Linked DNA regions of Caenorhabditis elegans. The protein of the gene in region 2 purifies or fractionates together with the protein of the main gene of each other region. This does not show direct contact. Each region holds a gene or a part of one and is shown on either strand. Other genes may lie near its edges. The genes, in order: herc-1, F34D10.9, pdhk-2 and T05C1.2.

Region 1 (4,631 bases), on a different chromosome or scaffold from region 2:
TTCCGGCAAATCAGCAAACCGGCAAATTGCCAGAAATTAGAATTTCCGGCAAATCGGCAAGCCGGCAAATTGCCAGAAATTAGAATTTCCGGCAAATCAGCAAACCGGCAAATTGCCAGAAATTAGAATTTCCGGCAAATCAGCAAACCGGCAAATTGCCAGAAATTAGAATTTTCGGCAAATCGGCAAGCCGGCAAATTGCCAGAAATTAGAATTTTCGGCAAATCAACAAACTGACAAATTGCCAGAAATTAAAATCTCCGGCAAATCAGCAAATTGCCAGAAATTAGAATTTTCGGCAAATCAGCAAACCGGCAAATTGCCAGAAATTAGAATTTCCGGCAAATCAGCAAACTGACAAATTGCCAGAAATTAAAATCTCCGGCAAATCGGCAAATTGCCAGAAATTAGAATTTTCGGCAAATCAGCAAACCGGCAAATTGCCAGAAATTAGAATTTTCGGCAAATCGGCAAGCCGGCAAATTTCCAGAAATTAGAATTTTCGGCAAATCGGCAAGCCGGCAAATTTCCAGAAATTAGAATTTTCGGCAAATCAACAAACTGACAAATTGCCAGAAATTAAAATCTCCGGCAAATTGGCAAATTGCCAGAAATTAAAATTTCCGGCAAATCGGCAAACCGCCAGATTGCCAGAAATCAAATTTTCTGCAAATTGCCAGAATTTTAATTTTCCGGCAAATCGGCAAATTGCGAGAAATTAGAATTTCCGGCAAATCAGCAAACTGGCAAATTGCCAGAAATTAGAATTTTCGGCAAATCAGCAAACCGGCGAATTGCCAGAAATTAGAATTTCCGGAAAATTGTTATTTTTAGAAAAATAGGATAATTTGAAAATTGAAGAAAAAAAACTAATAAAAAAGTTTAACTAAATTTTTTTGGAAGTTTTCACAAATTGTTAGTAATTTCATGAGAAATAAGTTAAATTTTTGTCCAAAAAATCAATTTTTCAGGCCGCCCAAGACCGTGAAGCCGCGTGGGCTCGCAAGGAAGAAGCCGCAAAGGCTGCGGAGCCGTCCAGCAGCTCAACTGATGCTCCAGAATCTGCTGAAACTCTGGAAATTCCAGAAGAAAATGTTCAAGAAATGACTGAATAATTTGTTTTTTTTTTGTTATCTCTTTTTTCTCCTTTAATTTATCTCCATTTATCCCCTACACAGTTATAAATTCTGCTACGTGGCCGTGTGGAAAAAACTCGGCCACCGATTTTTTTTTGTTCCCTCACGTGGTGCCAAAGTGTTTCATTTCTGTTTGATCTACAAAAAATGCGGGAATTTTTCCCCAAAAAACTGTGACGTCAGCACGTTTTTAATCGTGCAAAATCAGTTGAGAACTCTGCGTCTCAACTCCCGCATTTTTTGTAGATCTAGGTAGATCAAACCGAAATGAGACATTCTGTCACAACGTGTTCCCTTTATTGTTGTTGCAGTTGTTATTTGATTTTTTTTTTTGAAAAAATTTGAATTTTTTTTTCAGATTTTTTCCTCTGATACTGCTTCAAAAACTAAAGTTGTTGAGATCACACTATGATATTTTCTAGATTGTTTTTTTAAAATTTAATTGTTAAAAAAATCAGATTTCAGAAAATGCGAGCTGAGCTGCTCGGATGTGGACACACGGGCGAGGGACAGCTCGGCGTTCGGCTCTCCGAGTCGACGATTCAAGTTCCCGAGAGAATTAGTACGGAGCTATTTTTGTTGCAGAAATTAGAAAACAGAAAAAAAAATTAATTCCGAAATTAAATTTTAAAAATTAAAAAATTTCGGATGAAAAAAAAACAATTGGAAGATTTTTGTAAATCTTTCACAAAACTTTAAAAAAAACTTTTTTAAAGAAATAATGGCAAACCGACATTTTGCCGGAAATGGAAGATTCCGGCAAACCGGCAAAAAGCCAGAAATTAAAATTTTCTGCATATCGACAATTTGCCTAAAATGAAAATTTCCGGCAAATCGGCAATATGCCTAAAATGAAAATTTCCGGCAAATCGGCAATTTGCCTAAAATGAAAGGTTCCGGAAATCGGCAATTTTCCTAAAATGAAAGGTTCCGGCAAATCGGCAATTTTCCTAAAATGAAAGATTCCGGCAAATCGGCAAGTTGTCAAAAATGATAGATTCCGGCAAATCGGCAAAAAGCCAGAAATTAAAATTTTCTGCAAATCCACAATTTGCCTAAAATTAAAATTTCCGGAAATCGGCAATTTGCCGAAAATGAGAGATTCCGGCAAATCGGCAATTTGTCAAAAATGATAGATTCCGGCAAATCGGCAAAAAGCCAGAAATTAAAATTTCCGGCAAATCGGCAATTTGCCGAAAATGATAGATTCCGGCAAACCGGCAAAAAGCCAGAACTTAAAATTTCCGGAAATCGGCAATTTGCCGAAAATGAGAGATTCCGGCAAATCGGCAATTTTTCAAAAATGATAGATTCCGGCAAATCGGCAAAAAGCCAGAAATTAAAATTTCCGGCAAATCGGCAATTTGCCTAAAATGAAAATTTCCAGCAAATCGGCAATTTGCCTAACGAAAAAAAATTGATTACTTTGGAGCAAAATTGTATGCATCTTTAAAAAACTCTTTTTTTTTGAATATTTGTTTAAAAACTGTGTGAAAATAGTTTAAAATCGTCTCGGAATTTTCTCTGAAAATTGTTCAAAATTTCAGTTGGCGCTCCAAATGATATGGATGGAACCGCAGTGACGTCAGTCACGTGTGGTGAACAACATACAGTATTCCTGACAAAAGATGGCAAAATGTGGAGTGTTGGTAGTAATATGGATGGACAATTGGGACGAGGCAGTCGGACTGAGGGTTCTTTTTCGATTTATCCGGTTTCTTGGACAAGCAGTGCGAAAATTATTCAGGTAACTTTGAGTTTTTTTTTTGGCGAAAATCCATTAGAAAATGATTTTACCATATTTTTTCGCTAAATAACATTTGAAAAATAAAAAATTTTTCGTTTTTCCCTAGTTTTTGGCGAGAAAATCCCGTAGATCTCATTTTTGTAAACTCTTTTTCCGTGGAATCCCCTTTTCTTAGATTTCCATCTCGCAGATCCTCTTCCCATAGTTCCCATTTGCGTAAATTCTCTTCTCGTAGATCCCCGTTTCGTAGATCTCCGTCTTGTTGATCCCCTTCTCGTAGAATAGCAAATTTCTAGATCCTCTTCTCCCAGATACTCTTTTGGTAGATTCACTTCTCGTAAATCTCCTTCTCATAGAATTAATTTTGGTTCCCGTTTCGTAGATCTCTGTTTCGTGCAAGCTCCCTTCTCGAAGATTCCTTTGCCGTAGATCTTCTTTTCGTAGATCACCCTTCTCGCAGCTCTCTTTTTTGTAAATTCTCTTTTCATAGATCTGCCTTCCATAGACTTCCCTTCTCGGAGATCTCCTTTACGCAGAACGACGTTTTGTAGATCCTTTTCCATAGATTCTCCTCTCGTAGAATGGCTAATTCCTAGATCCTCTTCTCCCAGATCCCTTTTTTTGTAGATTCTCTTCTCGTAGATCTCCGTTTCGTAGATGCTCTTTTTTGTACATATATTTTCCATAGATCCCTTTTTGCCTTTAATGTAGATTTTTTCCATAATTACCCTCTCCGTAGATCTCCTTCTCGTAGATCCCATTTCCGTAGAATTCCCCCTTTCGTAGATCCCATTTTCAAAGATAGCCTTTCCGTATAATCTCCCTTTCGTAGATTCGATTTTCGAAAATAATAATCTCGCAGATCCCCTTCTCATAGATCCCCATCTGGTTGATCACCTTCTCGTAGATGCTTTTTTCATAAATTCCCTTACTTCAGATCCATTTTCCGTGGATCTCCTTTTCGCAGAGCCAATTTCCATAGATCGCCTTCTCGTAGAAATTCCATTTTTCAGATCTCTGCTGGCCGTTCTCACACAGTCTCCGTAACCGACGATGGGCGTGTCTTCGCTTGGGGCTCCAATGAGCACGGACAACTCGGAATGGAGAGTAAATTCACGTGGCAGGGAACACCACGACGTGTTCAAGAGATTAATGATATTGTACAAGTGGCGTCTGGATCCAATCATTGTATTGCGTTGGATGAAGGTAGAAATTTGGAAATTTGTGAAAAAATTCAAATTTTTGCTGGAAAAGTCCAAAAAGTATCTCAAAAACCTGAAAAATTGAAAAATTTAGTAAGGGGATATGGTCGGGGTACTGTAGTAGTACTGTAGGGGTACTGTAGGAGTACGGTAGGATTACTGTAGTTTAGGGAAATTTGACTTTTTCTCTTTTGAATGGATATTGGTTTGGGGTTAGTGGGGGGGATATGGTCGGGGTACTGTAGTAGTACTGTAGGGGTACTGTAGGAGTACTGTAGTAGTACTGTAGGATTACTGTAGTTTAGGAAAAATAAACTTTTCGTCTTTTGAAGGAATATTTGTTTTCGAATAATTTGCAAAAACGGAAAGCTGGATTTTTTTGAAAATAAAAAATAAAAATGTAATCCCGCTTCAACGCCAAAAGAAAAGTTGGGTCTCGTTAGGAATTGGCGGCGAAATTTTTTGCTAATTTTTGCTAATTTTGAAGCATTTTTTGTTGCTTTTAATAATTTTTGTACCAACGACGACCAAAAAATCATGGAAATC
Region 2 (5,088 bases):
AGTCAAATCGGAGAAAATAAAAACTCGATTTTTAAGCATTTTATTAGCATAATCAGAAGATGAAGTTCGATGGGGTCATGTGTTGTGGCTCGGCTATCACTTGGCTCCGCGAGTAGATCCACCAGTTGATTTTCCAGATGCTTCCTCAGCGACGCGAGCCTCTCTCTGTAATTTATTTTTGATGGGAAAATTAGTTGAAATTTTGAATTCAGAAATCCTCAAAGCGGTTTTTGAAAAAAACTCAAATTCGAATTCCCGCAATTTTTTTGATTAAATTCTGAATTCCCCGAGAAGCTAATGTTTCCAAATAACAAAATGCTTACCTTTGCAACCTTGCAAGCTCTGGCATGAGCCATTCTCTCCACCTGCATCTTCTTCTTCATTCGCTTTGGCATCAATTTCTTTGCGGCAGCCATTGCAGACCTTCTTCACAAGTTTCGATAACTAGAACTAACGAGAACTGATTTTGTTTCAAAAAGTTGAAGGAGAGTGGGAAATAAAAAAATCAGGCTTCACGTTTCTCGCGTCATTTGTTTTGAATTTTTTAAATAATTTCTTTTGAACAGATTAATTTTTCGCGTGTAAAAATCTTTTTGGACATCTGCTCTTTTGGTCTGGGGTCTTGGTTGGGGTTTTCAGAGAAAATCAGAAATTTTGAAAATTAATAAAACATTAAATTTTTAAATCAAATTTTGTTGATGTTGATGGGAAAAAATTGAAAACTAGTGAGAAAATTTAGTACTTTTATAGTCTAAAAAATATATTTCCAGACGAGGATATGGTCGACTCACGTCATTTTCTCTACAACACCGCCGGATTCATGATTCGCGCCTTTGCCTCAATGAAGAAAGGACGTACAACAAAGCCGCTAATCGCAATGTTCCCATTGACTGGAGAGAGTGCTGGATGGCTTGTAGTCACTGGAGTTATGCCGATTGCCACAATTTATGAGGATTCACTACTTAAAACGTAATATTCGGCCTGTAATTTTAACTTTAAAATTGATTATTTTCAGGTGTATTGGTCGTGCTTTCGAACGAGTAAAGAAAATGACTCCACCACTTCGTATCGTTGATGACTACTTTAATTCTGATATTATTCGCTTGAAATCTGAAGATCGTACTCGTTTTATTGATTTTCTGCAGACTGTCTTTGAGGGCACATCCAACTGATCTCTTACAGGCGTTTCTACCTATTGCACCATCTTGTTCCAATGCTTTTAATGAAAAAAAAAGTCTTAAAATATAGAGCATTACTTAATTTATCGGAAAATAGCTGAAAATGGCTTGGAAACTGCCATTTTTAGGCGATTTTCCTGCGTTTTCTGTGATAAATCAAGTGATTTTCTATATTTTGACACTAATTTTTAATGAAAAACATGGTGCATTAGGCTATTTTGTAGAATTGCCTCCTACTGTTATAATGTTCAATCTTTCTCATACACGGGCACACTGACTTTCCGAGTTTAATTTTTATTATCAATTTCTGAAATTATTTCCCCTATTTACTTCTCCACTTCTCATTTCATTGTCACATATTCACTTTATTTTGATCAGTTTTCACGTGAACATATTGTAATTTTTTTTCTGATGATGATTTTTTTCTGATGATTGATTAAATCAACTTCCAACTTCTTCAAACTAATTTATTTTATATTTTATCTAGTCTCAAATTTACGCACTTATCATTTTTCTACTCGAAAATGTCTACGCATAAGGTATGTTCGAGTTGGCCGATTTTCCTGATTAATTGAGGATTTTCTAGCAATCATATTTTGTGAGTTCAACACCGAATGGTCTTGATGGAGCTCAATATCTTGCTGTAAATCGTGATGGAAGTGTTCTTTATGGTCTTAAAGTTCGCATCGTATTGAGCATAGTTGAAGCTCCGGAACAAGCTCCAGAAGTCATCACTACAGCAACTGAAAAGTCTATCTGCAAATACCACGTGGCATCCGGAAACACAAAAACGTTCCAACTTGACGACGATATTGATCCGCTTCTTCTCGCTCGAATTATTGAATTTTATATGATTTCGGATAATATTGTCGCGCTGATTTCTTACGATTCAGAGCATTTTCAAGTTATACAGACACTTATTCATCTGGAACATTCGAAAGAATGGGCTCAGACGATTGTCGTGAGAAGATTGACTATTAGCAGAATGTCTGGGCCCCCATTAGTTAGTGAGTCAATCGGTTTTTTATCTGAAAAATGCCTCTGATTCTGACGAATTTGAATTGACCTCTAAGCCACGCCCACATTTCCGCGCGGTGCTTGCGTTTGTAACAATTCTGTGTTGATTTACGTTTTTCCCGATTTTTGCTTTTGAAATCGACGTGAAAACGGCAAAAATGCTTGGAAATTGGCGAAACTAATCTTTCTACTGTTTTGCCGCCAATTTCCTAACGAGACCCATCTGAAAGAGGCGGAGCACATTCAAGTGGCCGTGGAGCGCGTTTGCACGTCGATTTCGAAATGAGAAAATATATATTATAATTTATGTAGAGTTCCGCGAAGAAAATGGGAAAACCGGAAGTGCGGCACGGAAAAATGGGCGTGGCTTGAAGACAAAAGCGCGGCTATTCAAATTTGCCAAAACCAAAGGAATTTTTCACGTTTATTTCTGTGATATCTCGGCATTTTGAGTAAAATTTCAGATCTCAGCTTTCTGGATAAAGGAAGAATCTTATTATGTGGAGGTAGAGCATCAGTGGAAGGTGTCAAAGAACGAATGACAATAAATATCGCTGCAAATCCGTTAAATTGTTTCACAAAACCTGATGAGGATCTGAGCTCACTGGCAAGATATAGAAGGAAATCATTCAGAAAACTTAGATTAAATTTTCAGATGGAAGATTTCAATAAATTCCTCACTTCTCGACCATCAGATGTTGAAGCTAAATCTTTGATTAGTCTGTTTCTACTGCATCTCGATGAAGAAAAGATATCAGTTCTACTTTCAGAGTGAGCAAGCTGGGATTATTCTTTTCAATTCTAATATTTTAGCATTTAGAGTGTATCCTGATGATCCTCAAAGTGAGCCCGTGTTTGCCACAAACGTTATGGGAATGATTAATCGAAAAGATGGCACATTTTCAGTTGAACAACTGGATAATTCTGCATTATCGTATGTTATACATATAGTTAAATATTACACAGACGCGAAATTTTATACTGCACCCGGTCTCGACACGATAAGTTTTGTTAAGTACTGTAATTTCAAACTTGCTGCTTCAGAATTTGTTAAAATTTGAGTTTTTATTGATATTTATTAATAAATATATTAATCAGCAACAACGAAAGTTTCAAATTACAGTTTTTTAAAGGCGCACACTTTTTCGCATTTAACACAATTTTGCCGTGGCGAGACCGAGTACCGAACTTTTGGCACAACCTTCCACGCCTGGGTAATATAATTATTGAAAGTAATTTTTTTTAGAATTTGTGAGCCTCTCATAGTGACTTCAATTGTGAATATGAGAGCAAAACGTGGAAATGTTTGGATGACCTTCTCGGTTAGAGATGTTGAAAAGCTGAACACTTTGTATTGGAGATTTAAGCATTTTTATGTTGGAGTTATGCTGTAAAGGATTTTGAATAAATGATTTTCAAGCTGAATTTTCAAAATTTCAGGAGATTAATGGTTATTGGATTTCAAGGAAGTATGTACTTGTGGAGATTCGACAATGGGTTCACATTCCACTGTCTCACAAGATTTTTTATGTTTCTACACGGGTTAGTTCTTGGGCAATATTGTAATTTTACAAAAATGTGGTGAATGGGTCTGGCCACGATCTCAGGCACAATGGTCGTTAAGCAATATGCCAAAAATTTTCTTCTGTTTTATTTCAATAAATTGTGAGAACAACAACAAAATTTCCGCAGCAATGATATTTTAAAATTACAGTAAATAATCCTTAAAGGCGCACATATTTTTGCATTTAACAAGAATGTGTCGTTTCGAGACCTGATACCGTATTGTTGAAAATTTGCAACTTTTCCACTATGAAGAATGAATAATTTTTGTCATTTTCAGACCAACAATGATCCCTATCTATTCTCCGCAAAAACAATTTCATTTGTGTTATCTTGATATCAATCGTCGTCGATTCTTCCGATATGAGCATTCGGCTCGAGTTCTGAAAAGCAAGATGGATCCTAACGAAACGGAGTTTGCAATGGGATTTGATGTAGATTCTGATGGTGGAGCTCTTGTACTTGATCATCCCACTGAAAAGAGCCGAGAGATGGAGTAAGTTGCTCGTTTTATCGATTTAATTCAAATTCTTTTTTTTATAGATTAAGCTATTACCGAAATCCTATGAAACCTCAATCATTGGCACAGCTAGCAACTTATTCAGCATACAGGTAATATCTAGTGAAATCTTCAATTTTATGATTTAGATTATTACAGGAACTTTCCATCATTCGAAAAGTCAAGTTTATTGAGACGTTTGACCGGTGTTATTGATTGGATGTGGAGCATATAATATCTGGAAACCCTCTACTAACCCTATTTGAACTTTTATCGATGAGAACTTACAATGAATTTGCTGTATTTCAAATATTCAAATATAATTTTTTTTTTTAAACTACGGTAACACCCATTTGGCATGTGTAGGTCTCGCCGCGAAAAACCACATTGCGAGCGCGCTCGTCAAAACTATTGTTACCGAAAATATTATTTTTTCTCGCTGAATCTTTTTGTTTAAATCATGTTTAAAGTATTGAATTTATAATTAATTGTTAAAAATATTTATATTTTTACAGGCATGCGTCTCTGCTTTTACTCCGTAACAGTTCTACTAATCATAGGAATCGACTCGGATCCAACAATTCACGATATTGCTAATGATTCCGCTAACATTGTCACCAAGATTCTCGGTATGTACTGATTATTGTTATCTCTATAAATCTCGCTGAAGGTTCTTTTCAGGGTACGAGTTCAATGAACCTGACGAAACTGTTCACTTCATTTGATATGCCATCTTGCCTCCGACGGTGTATGCCTGCTTTGGACAACATCGGTGCACTTTTCGATGCCGCTAAGAACCCGGAAACGATGAAGGCAATGTGTCGCGATATG
Region 3 (6,042 bases), 5.0 Mb from region 2:
ATGCTGTTCATGCTTCATACAGTTACATGTGTGGTTCTGGTCAACCATTATTTCAGAAACATGCCGGATGTTTTGCAGAGGTACTGCCACAGTTTCACTTGTTATTCTGAAGATAGACACACTTTAGACACAACACTTTTAATCGTATATTATAAAAAATCACAAACTGGTTTAAAAAAAGTTGGTATAAACTAAGTACAGTATTCGGCAAAAGAAACTTTAGAATATTTCTAATTTGGAAAGAGTCTGGACAACTGTTTTAAAAAAATAACTGTCATAACTTGATCAATTGATTGGTTAAAAGAGTATCAGAAAGACAGTTGTCTAGAATTTTTCTACAATTTAAGTTTCTACTCTTTTGTGATTGACAACATTTTTGCATCTACAAATAATGTTGTGACACTCTTCGTCTTCTTCAACAAAGTTACAGTAATCAAATTTAAGGTCGAAGCCCAAAAAGAGTATATCAGCTGTAAGATAGCAGCCACTCAAGCAATTTCTGAAGCACAAGGAGCAAAAGTGAGTTCATTTTGTTTCATGTTTTGAGTAGATCAAGTATGAGATTCAGGGATCATCAACAGAAGCGTATTTGACTGAAATGTGTCGAGCGATGGATGGATATTTGAGATGTTCTCATCCAATTATTTTGGCAAAGTGTGGTTCCGATGCATGGACATTAGTTTCTACTGTATGTTTATCAAGGGCAAAATTGTTTTTTTAATTCTCAAAATTTGGCATTTCAAGATGTTTTTCTTTTTCTTAAAAAATTCTGATCTTTTTCGATCTAGTTAAGAAGAGTAATTTTTTCGAAAAACCAAGAAATTCCAAAAAGCGTTCCTACAACCATCATTAGTTTAAAAAAAAACATATTTTTGATCAGTTTGGCAGATTTCAAGTAATGATAAATGCACTGAATAAGTTTCAGATCTACTTTTTGCCAGATTAAAGTGCTCTAGGGCACGCCCCTAACGTTTTTGTTGGGTACTATTTGAAAATTGGTCATTTTCCAAATAAGATCAATAACTTTCCTTGTGCAAAAAATCCCGTATTATTGAAATATCAGCTAATTTCAGGTGACACGTGACAGTCTTGGTGTGACAATGCCCAATTGTGACATGCATTCTGCATTATTCTAATCTCTACAACGAGTAGTTCATTTTTTCTTCTCAACTTTCTGTATACTGGTTCTGGTTCACACACTTTTTCTGGCATTGCAATTTGTTTTTACTTACTTTAATTTATTTAAATCTTGTGAAATTTGAGGCGCAATAAATAAATATTCGTAATGTTAATTTGCAATATAATTCGTTGTTAACTCAAAAATACGGTACCCCGGTCTCGACACGACCCGAACCGACGCCTTTAACGAGTACAGTAGTAATCGACATTAAAAAAATTTAAAAAAAACTTTCGGTTACAAAAAAGCATTTATAATGGCAAAATAGTGAAGTAAGTCAGTGACATCAATAATTATTTTAAACTATTGTTTTTAACGCTGGCTTTTCTTCAAAAAGCTCAAATTCCCATATTTGTAATTTTAAACTACCGCCGTAAACTTGAATTGCGCAAGACACTGAATTGCGTCAGTGTCCGCCTTGGCGCATCCCTCGATTTTCATCGCATCGGCCGAACTCGAAGCGAGATGGGAGGAGGAGATTGCCGACGTGCAATTTATACTCTCTGTTTCACTTTTTTTCAATATTCCATAATTTTCTCAATGCGGCAGCGTAAACAACGTATTTCTCTTGATTGTCCCACTTTGTACTTTCTCGTTTTCATTTCAAAAATAGAAAAAAACAAATTAATTTTCAGATGCGCTTTTCGCGGAAGTTACTAGGCCCTTTCGTGGGTTCATTGGCCAAGAAACTCGATTATTATAGGTAATAATATTTGTTTCAGCTTTAAAAACCAGGAGATTATGAAAAGTATCGTTTTTAATATTGGAATCGATGGCCTTTGTTCTCTGCCCGGTCTGTTTGTTCCAGGGAAAACTAGTTTTTGTTTATTTTTAGCCGGCTAAGGCGTCGTTTTTTTTTTATTTTTCTGCACTGTTGAGTGAATTTTGATCTTGTTTCGATGAAAAATTCAATATAAAGTTATTTTTCAGTCAATTTCAACCTTCATCACTTACAATTCAACAATATTTGGATTTCGGTCGAATAGGAACATCAGCAAATTCATACACATTTTTGAAAAATGAGCTTCTCGTTCGTTTGGCGAATATTATGCAGGAATTCACACTTCTTCCACCAAAGCTTCTTCAAATGCCAAGTTCAAAAATGGTATCAAATTGGTATGCTGAGAGTTTCGAGGATCTTCTTTTGTTCGAGGCATCTGATTCATCTCCAGAGCAAGTTGCAAGGTAAGAGAAAAAATTGAATACCTAATTTACAAAAAAAAACTTGATTTTTTGGTTTTAAAAGTTTAGAAATACATTTTTAAAATATTAATGTTAATTTATGTTTTTCAGATTCAATGATCAGTTAACAGTCGTACTGAAAAGACACGCACATGTCGTCGAAACAATGGCTGAAGGATTGATTGAACTTCGAGAATCGGATGGAGTAGATATTGCAAGTGAAAAAGGAATTCAATATTTCTTGGATCGATTTTACATCAACAGAATTTCCATTCGTATGCTTCAAAATCAACATCTGGTAAGTTATTTTAAAAATTTTAATATTTTCAAATAAAACATTTTTTCCAGGTTGTATTCGGAAATGTTCTCCCAGAAAGTCCTCGTCATGTTGGATGTATTGATCCTGCCTGTGATGTGGAAAGTGTAGTGTACGATGCTTTTGAAAATGCTCGGTGAGTGCAAGTTGATGATAAAATTGCCTAGAAATTAAAGAAATAAGCCGATAAAAGTCCAAAGTTTCACCAGAAAATGTTCTAAAATTTTTTTTTTGAGATTGATGTTCAAGGCCCTCAGCAATACCTTCCATTTCTTCATTTTTTGCTTCTTTGCTAGAACTTCCGGCTCTTAATTCTTGCAGAAAATTGTGATAAATTAATTCTGAGTAAATTTTTCTCAAAAAATTTACGAAAAGTCAATAAATTTTAACAAAAATTTCCGTTGGACCGCTCTGGTCCTCATCAGGCCTTCTCAACTATACGAATGGCGTCTTTTGGGTTTTTGATAAGCTAGTTCTTCGCTGTCCGTCTGCGACGAAGATTGAATGTGCTGTGTCTCTGGGTGAGCACATAGTCGTCAGTTGTCATTTGAGCCTGAAAACATAGTTCATTCTCTCTACCACCACTGCCCATTCAACCTTTCTTCCGTGCAGGGAGTGTTCTTTGAGATGGAGAGGGATGACGTTTGATTTTTTAAAACGCGTGTGATTTCGGGCAAACCTGATCATTTCAAAGAACGAAAATATGAATTAGAGGGATAAGGAGGAAAATATGCAATTTTGATTTAGAAAATTTCCGTGGGAGTTTTATTCTGATCTTTTACAAAATTATCATAGAAAATTTGATTTGAGGGTTAAAAAAACACAAAAAAATTTTTAATGATTTTTTTCACTTTTGCAAAAATAAAGGAACGGCTGAAACTATTTCACCTGAAATTTAGCGACATGATTTTAATCGGAAAAACTTAAAAAAAAACAGAAAAAGCTAATATTTTCATATAATAATTTTTTGTTACAGATTTCTATGTGATCGATACTACTTGACAAGTCCATCAATGAAGCTTGAAATGCACAATGCCGTTGAAAAAGGAAAACCAATATCGATTGTCGCCGTACCAAGTCATCTCTATCACATGATGTTCGAACTGTTTAAGGTTAGCTATGAAGATACGAATTAAAAAAAAGACGACGCCTCTTCATCACTTCAATGTAACAAAGTGCCTTTTTGAACGCACACACTTCTTCCCCACGTGCTGTTGCAGTTTTGATACTAAAAAAACGATAGAAAAAGAGAGATAAGAGATGAAAATGATAAGAGAATTGGAAAAAGAGGAATTAAAAAAGGAAACGATTAAGTTGAAAGTAGAAAGAACAGAAAAATGTGTATGGAGGGGTTTTCAAATTCTCTTTTTTTTACAGAATGCAATGAGAGCGACAGTTGAATATCATGGAGTTGATGATGATCTTCCAGATATTAAAGTTTATGTAGTCAAAGGACAAGAGGATTTATCTATTAAGGTATTGAATTATTGATTGGTTTCGAAAATCAGTCGTATTTTATTTAAAATTACTGTACATTTTGGTGAGGTTCTGTGGATTTTTGCCCTAAATTACAGAAGACAGTCTCAATATACTGAGTATCATTTTTTTTAATTTAAAGAATTTTTTCTAAATTTTATGGAATTGTTTTACTTTTTAGAGATTGTAAAACATTTTTTAAACAATTTTTTAGAGTCTAAAAAATACTAAACTTTCTTTTAATTTTTTTGTCAAAAATTTTTTTTTTAAGTTACTGGAAAAATTCTAGCATATGTATATACAGTTATTGAAAAATTCGAATGTTTTATTTTAAAATAAAATTGGTTTTTTTTTGCAATTTTTGCCGCAGGTTTCAAATATTTTCTTTTACAGATTTGTGATCGTGGAGGAGGTGTATCCAGAACTATTCTCGAACGTCTCTACAACTACATGTACTCAACAGCTCCACCACCGCCACGTGATGGAACACAAGCTCCTTTGGTAAGTATTTTGAAAGTAAAAATAAACAAAAACAATGGACCAAAAATTTATATTTGTGAAAAACCAAAAAACAACAATAAAACCATTATAAATCACATTTTGTTTCAAAAAAAATTTCAAAGCCAATTTTTGATCAAGTTATAGAAGTTTTAAGAGTTTTTTTTTTGAAAAAAACCAGTATTTAAAAGTTTTCTAATTTTTCGAAAATAAGTTGAATTTTTAATAACTAGAGTCCAGATTCATACTGTATGGTTTATATTTTTAAAAATCGAGATTTTTAGGCTGGTTACGGATACGGACTGCCACTATCTCGACTATACGCTCGGTATTTCCTTGGTGACCTCTTTTTGGTTTCCATGGAAGGACATGGAACGGATGCATGTATCTACTTGAAAGCTGTACCAGTTGAGGCTAGTGAAGTACTCCCAATTTATAGTACTTCTTCGCGTCGAAATTTGACAATGGGACCACAAGTAGCTGATTGGTCGCATCATGTTCCTGGTCAAGGAAATCGTCCAGCTCAATCATGATCGTACTCGAGTTTTTTGTATTTATTGCTCTTTTTTTGTAAGTTGTGAATATATTCTAGCCATTCATTTTATTCGTCTTTTTACTTCTACTGTTCTCCGTTTCTGTCTATCCGGTGTCCATCAAATCCCGAGAATTCTGTTGTATATAAAACATTTCTAGCAAAATTATTTGTTTTCTTTCTGAAACTTCTTCTAGCTCTACTCTTTCTCGGACATTTTTTTTGTATATAATCGTTTGTAGGTGCGATGGGCTCTATTCTTCTTCTTTTTCTTCTCTCCCCGTATTTCACGAGTTCGTTGTGATTTGAAATCCCTCCCGAATTAGACTCACAACTTTGGAATAAATCATTCAAACTCATACATTTGAATTTGACAAGTTTGTGGAAAAAAGAAGAGAAGATTCTTCTTTCCATCTTTTTCTTCCATGACAAAACAATTTAATTTTCGCGCTGCGCACTCGGCGACGACTACTAGGATGAGAAGCTGACGATGTGCCATGGAAATCTTGGTGTTTTTGTGAGCGCCTTTTCACATTTGAATGCTTCCATGGAGTTCAATTGAGAACATAGATGTGCGGCACATTAAAAAATCTCCTTTTCTGGAAATTTATATAGAATTATCTGTACTTTTTGCTATCTTCAGAAAGTGCAAATATTTCTCTGTTTCTATACTTTTCTGTTTAGGCGCTTTCTTTGTTGTTTGAAATGTTTTTTTTTTAAATATTTTAAGCTACTATACGAGTTTTCAAATATTTTTTAAATAAAAATTATAACTTTTAAATTAATTGAAACTATTTCTTTGACGAAAAGTCCAGCTCTGAATTGATTCAAAAAACTTTAAAAAGCTACAAAAATGGCGCT
Region 4 (3,642 bases), on a different chromosome or scaffold from region 2:
CTCTTTTTCTGAAAAATAATATCATATAGTCTCGAGGAAAGGCATTTGCTTTCAGCTTATGTATATGTTGCTTTGTGTTTTTTTTTCTGTTTTTGCTCTGTTTTTCAATTTTCAGCCTGACTGCCGGAGAAGCTGAGAATATATTCAATTAATTGAAAAAAATAGGGAGAGTCTTAGGTCTATGCATTTTAACACCTGGAAAATAATTTAAACGGGAGAAAGTTTTAAAAAAATTAAACTTGATATGTAGGCGCAAAAATGGAAGGTAGGTAGACAGACAGGTCAGTAGGCAGTCCTGTAGGCATGTAAGGCTTAGAGAGTCAAATATGAGACAGGAACATACAGACAAATTCAGGAATGAGAAAGACACGTAACCAGGCAGGTGCTAGGCAGGCACTAAAGCAGTTAGGAATGAGAAACACAAGTAGGTCTGCAGGTAGGCGAATTGTAATGAGGTAACTTGAAAAGCTTTTATGACGGAGTTCAGTGTACGAAAACAAGCATCGGCGAAGGTAATCAGCCATGTAGGCAGGTAGGCATGCTTGCGGGCTCGTAGGCGGGCAGGTAGGTAAGCAGGGATATATATATATATGTAGATTTTTTTTCTTTTGAAGATCTTTAGCAAAACAGCTTGTTGTTTTCCTATAGGTACAACCAATTCCAATTCGCTTCTCTGAATTTTTCATTAGCCACCCCACTTGACATTTTGAGCTGCCACACACACCAAAAATGGTTATTTTTCAGCACCGAGACGAGGGTGCGTTCTCTCATGTTTTTTTGAGCACTTATCGCTTTACGATCACTCATTTTTCCCCCATCATTCTTCTCAAATGTTCCTTTTTTTGAAGGACAGTCGGTTCCGGGTTAGGATATATATTTTTGTTTTGTTTTTCTGGAAGTACATGCACCGTGGTTCTTGCCAAAATTTTCAGAAAATCTGAAGCTAAATTCTAGAAATTTTTATTCGACAGTTGAGATTTGAATCATTGTTTAAAATCCCCAAAAGAAAAACCGCAAATATCCTCTATAAGGCAGATCTACACAATTCTCAAATAATACCCAGCTGATAATTGTTAGTTTTTGTTCCAAAAATAAATATATATGTGCAGGTACATGTCATATAATAAAATGCTAAGACGGATCTGACAACTCAGGATTTAAATCATCTTTTGCGCGGGAACTAGGTCAGATTAAGAGTGATGTAGATTTGAGCTGGATTTGCCCGTATTTGGTGTGTTTTTAGTGGTTGCTCGGGGAGCAAGTATGAATTTGGATATTTTAGAATTAGCATATATTTAATCGGACCCCGTTAGGCAGACCTGATGCCTTCAAGATGCCTATACGTACAAGCGTGCCTGCTTGCAAGTTATGCGTCTTTTCAGACTAAACAAAGTTCATTGCATTTTTGAAAATCAATTCGTGACTACAAAAAAACGTGTTTCACGGCTTGACAGATAAACTCTGCAATCCAGCTCAAACTCACATCATTTTTTCCGAATCTTTTTTGATCTACTTCCCGCCCAATTTTTAAGATGTTTATATAGGTAGGATTGTTTCAAAGTTAGAGAGCAAAAGCTTCATATTTTCAAATTGTTAATTTCGGTTTTGGTCACTGGAACCAAACGGACCAAACTAGTAGTACTTGTAATTAAAAATAATTGATCGAATTTTTTCCCATTTCCTAGACTTCCTCATTTTCTTTCTTTTTGCCTTCCGATTAATCCCATCATGATGTGCATTTTTAGAAGTAAGACACCGAAAAAATTGGCAACTTTTGAGAGAAAATAGTAGCTTTTAGAGTTTTTAATTTACATATAGCGTTCGTCATGTCTCGGTGAGATTAGTATTCATATAGACAAGTATTTTTGGATTTGATTTTTGTATTTTCTTTCTTGCGGAATGTTATTTTACTCCTTAAAATTAAACTATTTCAATCATAAAAATGGTGTCTTTTTTCAGAAAAAAATGGCCTCGCAACAAGACGCCTCTCCACCAACAGGTTACAACATGGGGTAGGTTTTGGAACATTGAAAAGGCTGGCGTTCAAGCCTACGTGCCTACCTCGTGCCTACCTGGCGTAAACTTTGCAAGTAGGCATGAGGCAGGCAGGCAGTGAAAATTGTGAAAAAAAAAACAAATTTTCTTTAAAATTGTGCGAGTCAATTGCGGCGTCGCGTCTTAATAATTCTTCGAATCTTTCACACTTTGTTTTTTCTAAGAAGTTTGTCTGAGAAGCTTCTTCTTTAGAATCTTCAGTATAATAAAAAATAATTATCATATTTCCAGACATCGCCACTCGTTAACCATTGAGACCAATCCACTGCACTTGTTGCCGTCCAATATGCGACGTTTCTCCCAGGTGATTTTTTGAAACAAAGTCTAATTTTTAGTTTCGGAAACATTACTGAAATATTATCGAAATGATTCAGACATCTGAGAAATTTTTAGGGGGTTTGGGCCTCAAATAGATTTTTTTGGATTTTTCGGTTAAGAAAATTATCCTGCAAACTCACTCTATAGAGTAAAAAATACGAGAGTTAGATAAGTTTGTTCGGCAAATGCAGGCCAGCAATTCTTAAAAATTGGACAAAATGTGTCAATATTTTACATTCAATTTTGATAATAAAAAATGAAAAATATGTGCTTTATTTGAAAATAGCTTTGAGTTTAGTTGGAGCAATTAAAAAATGTAAAAAAAAACTGTAAAACTGCCTGAAAGTTGGAATTTGTCGGGAAAAAGTTTGATAGTTTTTAATTTTTTAAACTAAAATGAAAGCTATTTTAAAATAAAGAAAAAATTATTCTATTTACTATAATATAATTTTTATGACAAAAATTAGGAAAACATGGTGCAATATGACATTTTGAAGAATTTCTGGTCGGCACTTCAATAGCCCAGCTATTGAAAATCATATTTTATCAACAAATCTTCCGTTTTCAGGCCGACACTGCCCGTCATCCAGCAGCTCCTTTGCTCTCAAAACTCGCCGCCAGACAACAAATCCCTGAAGCAGTAGCCGAGAAAAAAGACGACGAGAAGCCAGAAAACAAGTGATTTTTTTCTGATCTCTGAACATTGTGTATTGTATATTTAAATTTCAATTCTCCAAATATTCAATTAATCTTCTTTTCTTATAGTTTCATTTATTCAAAGAAAAAAAACAAAACAAAAAATAACAAAAAAAAAGACGAAAAACACCGGAATTGGAAGGATTGAATGCATGGGAAGTTTGGAGAATGCGGAGCGGATGGCTAGTAAATATGTACATGGAATGTTTTTTGGAGGGGATTTTTGGAAAAGGGAAATAGAATCACAAGAGATTTTTAAGAAGAATTGGAATTAGTGCAACAATGAAAAGCTTCCAGCTTCCTGTTGAATTCGGGTCCCGGTTTTGGGTTCCGTCAGTTGTAAGATTTCTGTTCGATGGGTTCAACTTTGGTGGTGAGGCTTCTTGGGTGACCTTGGTAACTTCGACGCTTCCGTGGCCGGGTGTGAAGCTGGAAATAGGACTAGTTTAATGCGGTCAATTAAATTATGGCGGAAATAAGCGGAAATAATAAATCTAACTGTAAAAGTCGAGTTGAGGGACAGGTTTTGAGAGCAGATAATTTTCAATTTTGGATAAAAACATTTTTTTAAAT

Evidence for each region.
Region 1: the proteins of F34D10.9 (region 2) and herc-1 fractionate together in Caenorhabditis elegans (co-fractionation; one large-scale study listed by BioGRID). This does not show direct contact.
Region 3: the proteins of F34D10.9 (region 2) and pdhk-2 fractionate together in Caenorhabditis elegans (co-fractionation; one large-scale study listed by BioGRID). This does not show direct contact.
Region 4: the proteins of F34D10.9 (region 2) and T05C1.2 fractionate together in Caenorhabditis elegans (co-fractionation; one large-scale study listed by BioGRID). This does not show direct contact.

The regions. Positions count from the first base shown.
Region 1 is NC_003279.8:1,209,891-1,214,521, forward strand, and holds the start of herc-1 (HECT domain-containing protein), read left to right. Parts: upstream 1-1,594; 5' UTR 1,595-1,604; coding exon 1,605-1,698; intron 1,699-2,683; coding exon 2,684-2,883; intron 2,884-3,896; coding exon 3,897-4,089; intron 4,090-4,631. Other genes in the region: nsun-2 (tRNA (cytosine(34)-C(5))-methyltransferase), read left to right, coding at 972-1,115.
Region 2 is NC_003281.10:3,726,185-3,731,272, reverse strand, and holds F34D10.9 (CPSF_A domain-containing protein), read left to right. Parts: upstream 1-1,652; 5' UTR 1,653-1,702; coding exon 1,703-1,717; intron 1,718-1,764; coding exon 1,765-2,185; intron 2,186-2,659; coding exon 2,660-2,966; intron 2,967-3,015; coding exon 3,016-3,129; intron 3,130-3,441; coding exon 3,442-3,585; intron 3,586-3,635; coding exon 3,636-3,737; intron 3,738-4,038; coding exon 4,039-4,254; intron 4,255-4,301; coding exon 4,302-4,370; intron 4,371-4,416; coding exon 4,417-4,492; 3' UTR 4,493-4,564; downstream 4,565-5,088. Other genes in the region: F34D10.8 (uncharacterized protein), read right to left, coding at 97-165, 324-416; evl-18 (Cell division control protein 45 homolog), read left to right, coding at 771-969, 1,016-1,172; gldi-5 (Chondroitin proteoglycan 4 domain-containing protein), read left to right, coding at 4,775-4,886, 4,928-5,088.
Region 3 is NC_003281.10:8,737,183-8,743,224, reverse strand, and holds pdhk-2 (putative [pyruvate dehydrogenase (acetyl-transferring)] kinase, mitochondrial), read left to right. Parts: upstream 1-1,812; coding exon 1,813-1,880; intron 1,881-2,107; coding exon 2,108-2,362; intron 2,363-2,470; coding exon 2,471-2,657; intron 2,658-2,707; coding exon 2,708-2,811; intron 2,812-3,651; coding exon 3,652-3,787; intron 3,788-4,052; coding exon 4,053-4,151; intron 4,152-4,544; coding exon 4,545-4,652; intron 4,653-4,933; coding exon 4,934-5,182; 3' UTR 5,183-5,539; downstream 5,540-6,042. Other genes in the region: nssp-33 (DUF19 domain-containing protein), read left to right, coding at 1-80, 445-519, 569-688, 1,074-1,136. UniProt on the Caenorhabditis elegans protein: Inhibits the mitochondrial pyruvate dehydrogenase complex by phosphorylation of the E1 alpha subunit, thus contributing to the regulation of glucose metabolism. Required for normal lifespan.
Region 4 is NC_003280.10:4,480,438-4,484,079, reverse strand, and holds T05C1.2 (Protease III), read left to right. Parts: upstream 1-1,958; 5' UTR 1,959-1,965; coding exon 1,966-2,012; intron 2,013-2,285; exon of another isoform or gene 2,286-2,286; coding exon 2,287-2,359; intron 2,360-2,941; coding exon 2,942-3,055; 3' UTR 3,056-3,137; downstream 3,138-3,642. Other genes in the region: T05C1.1 (Activin_recp domain-containing protein), read right to left, coding at 3,312-3,498.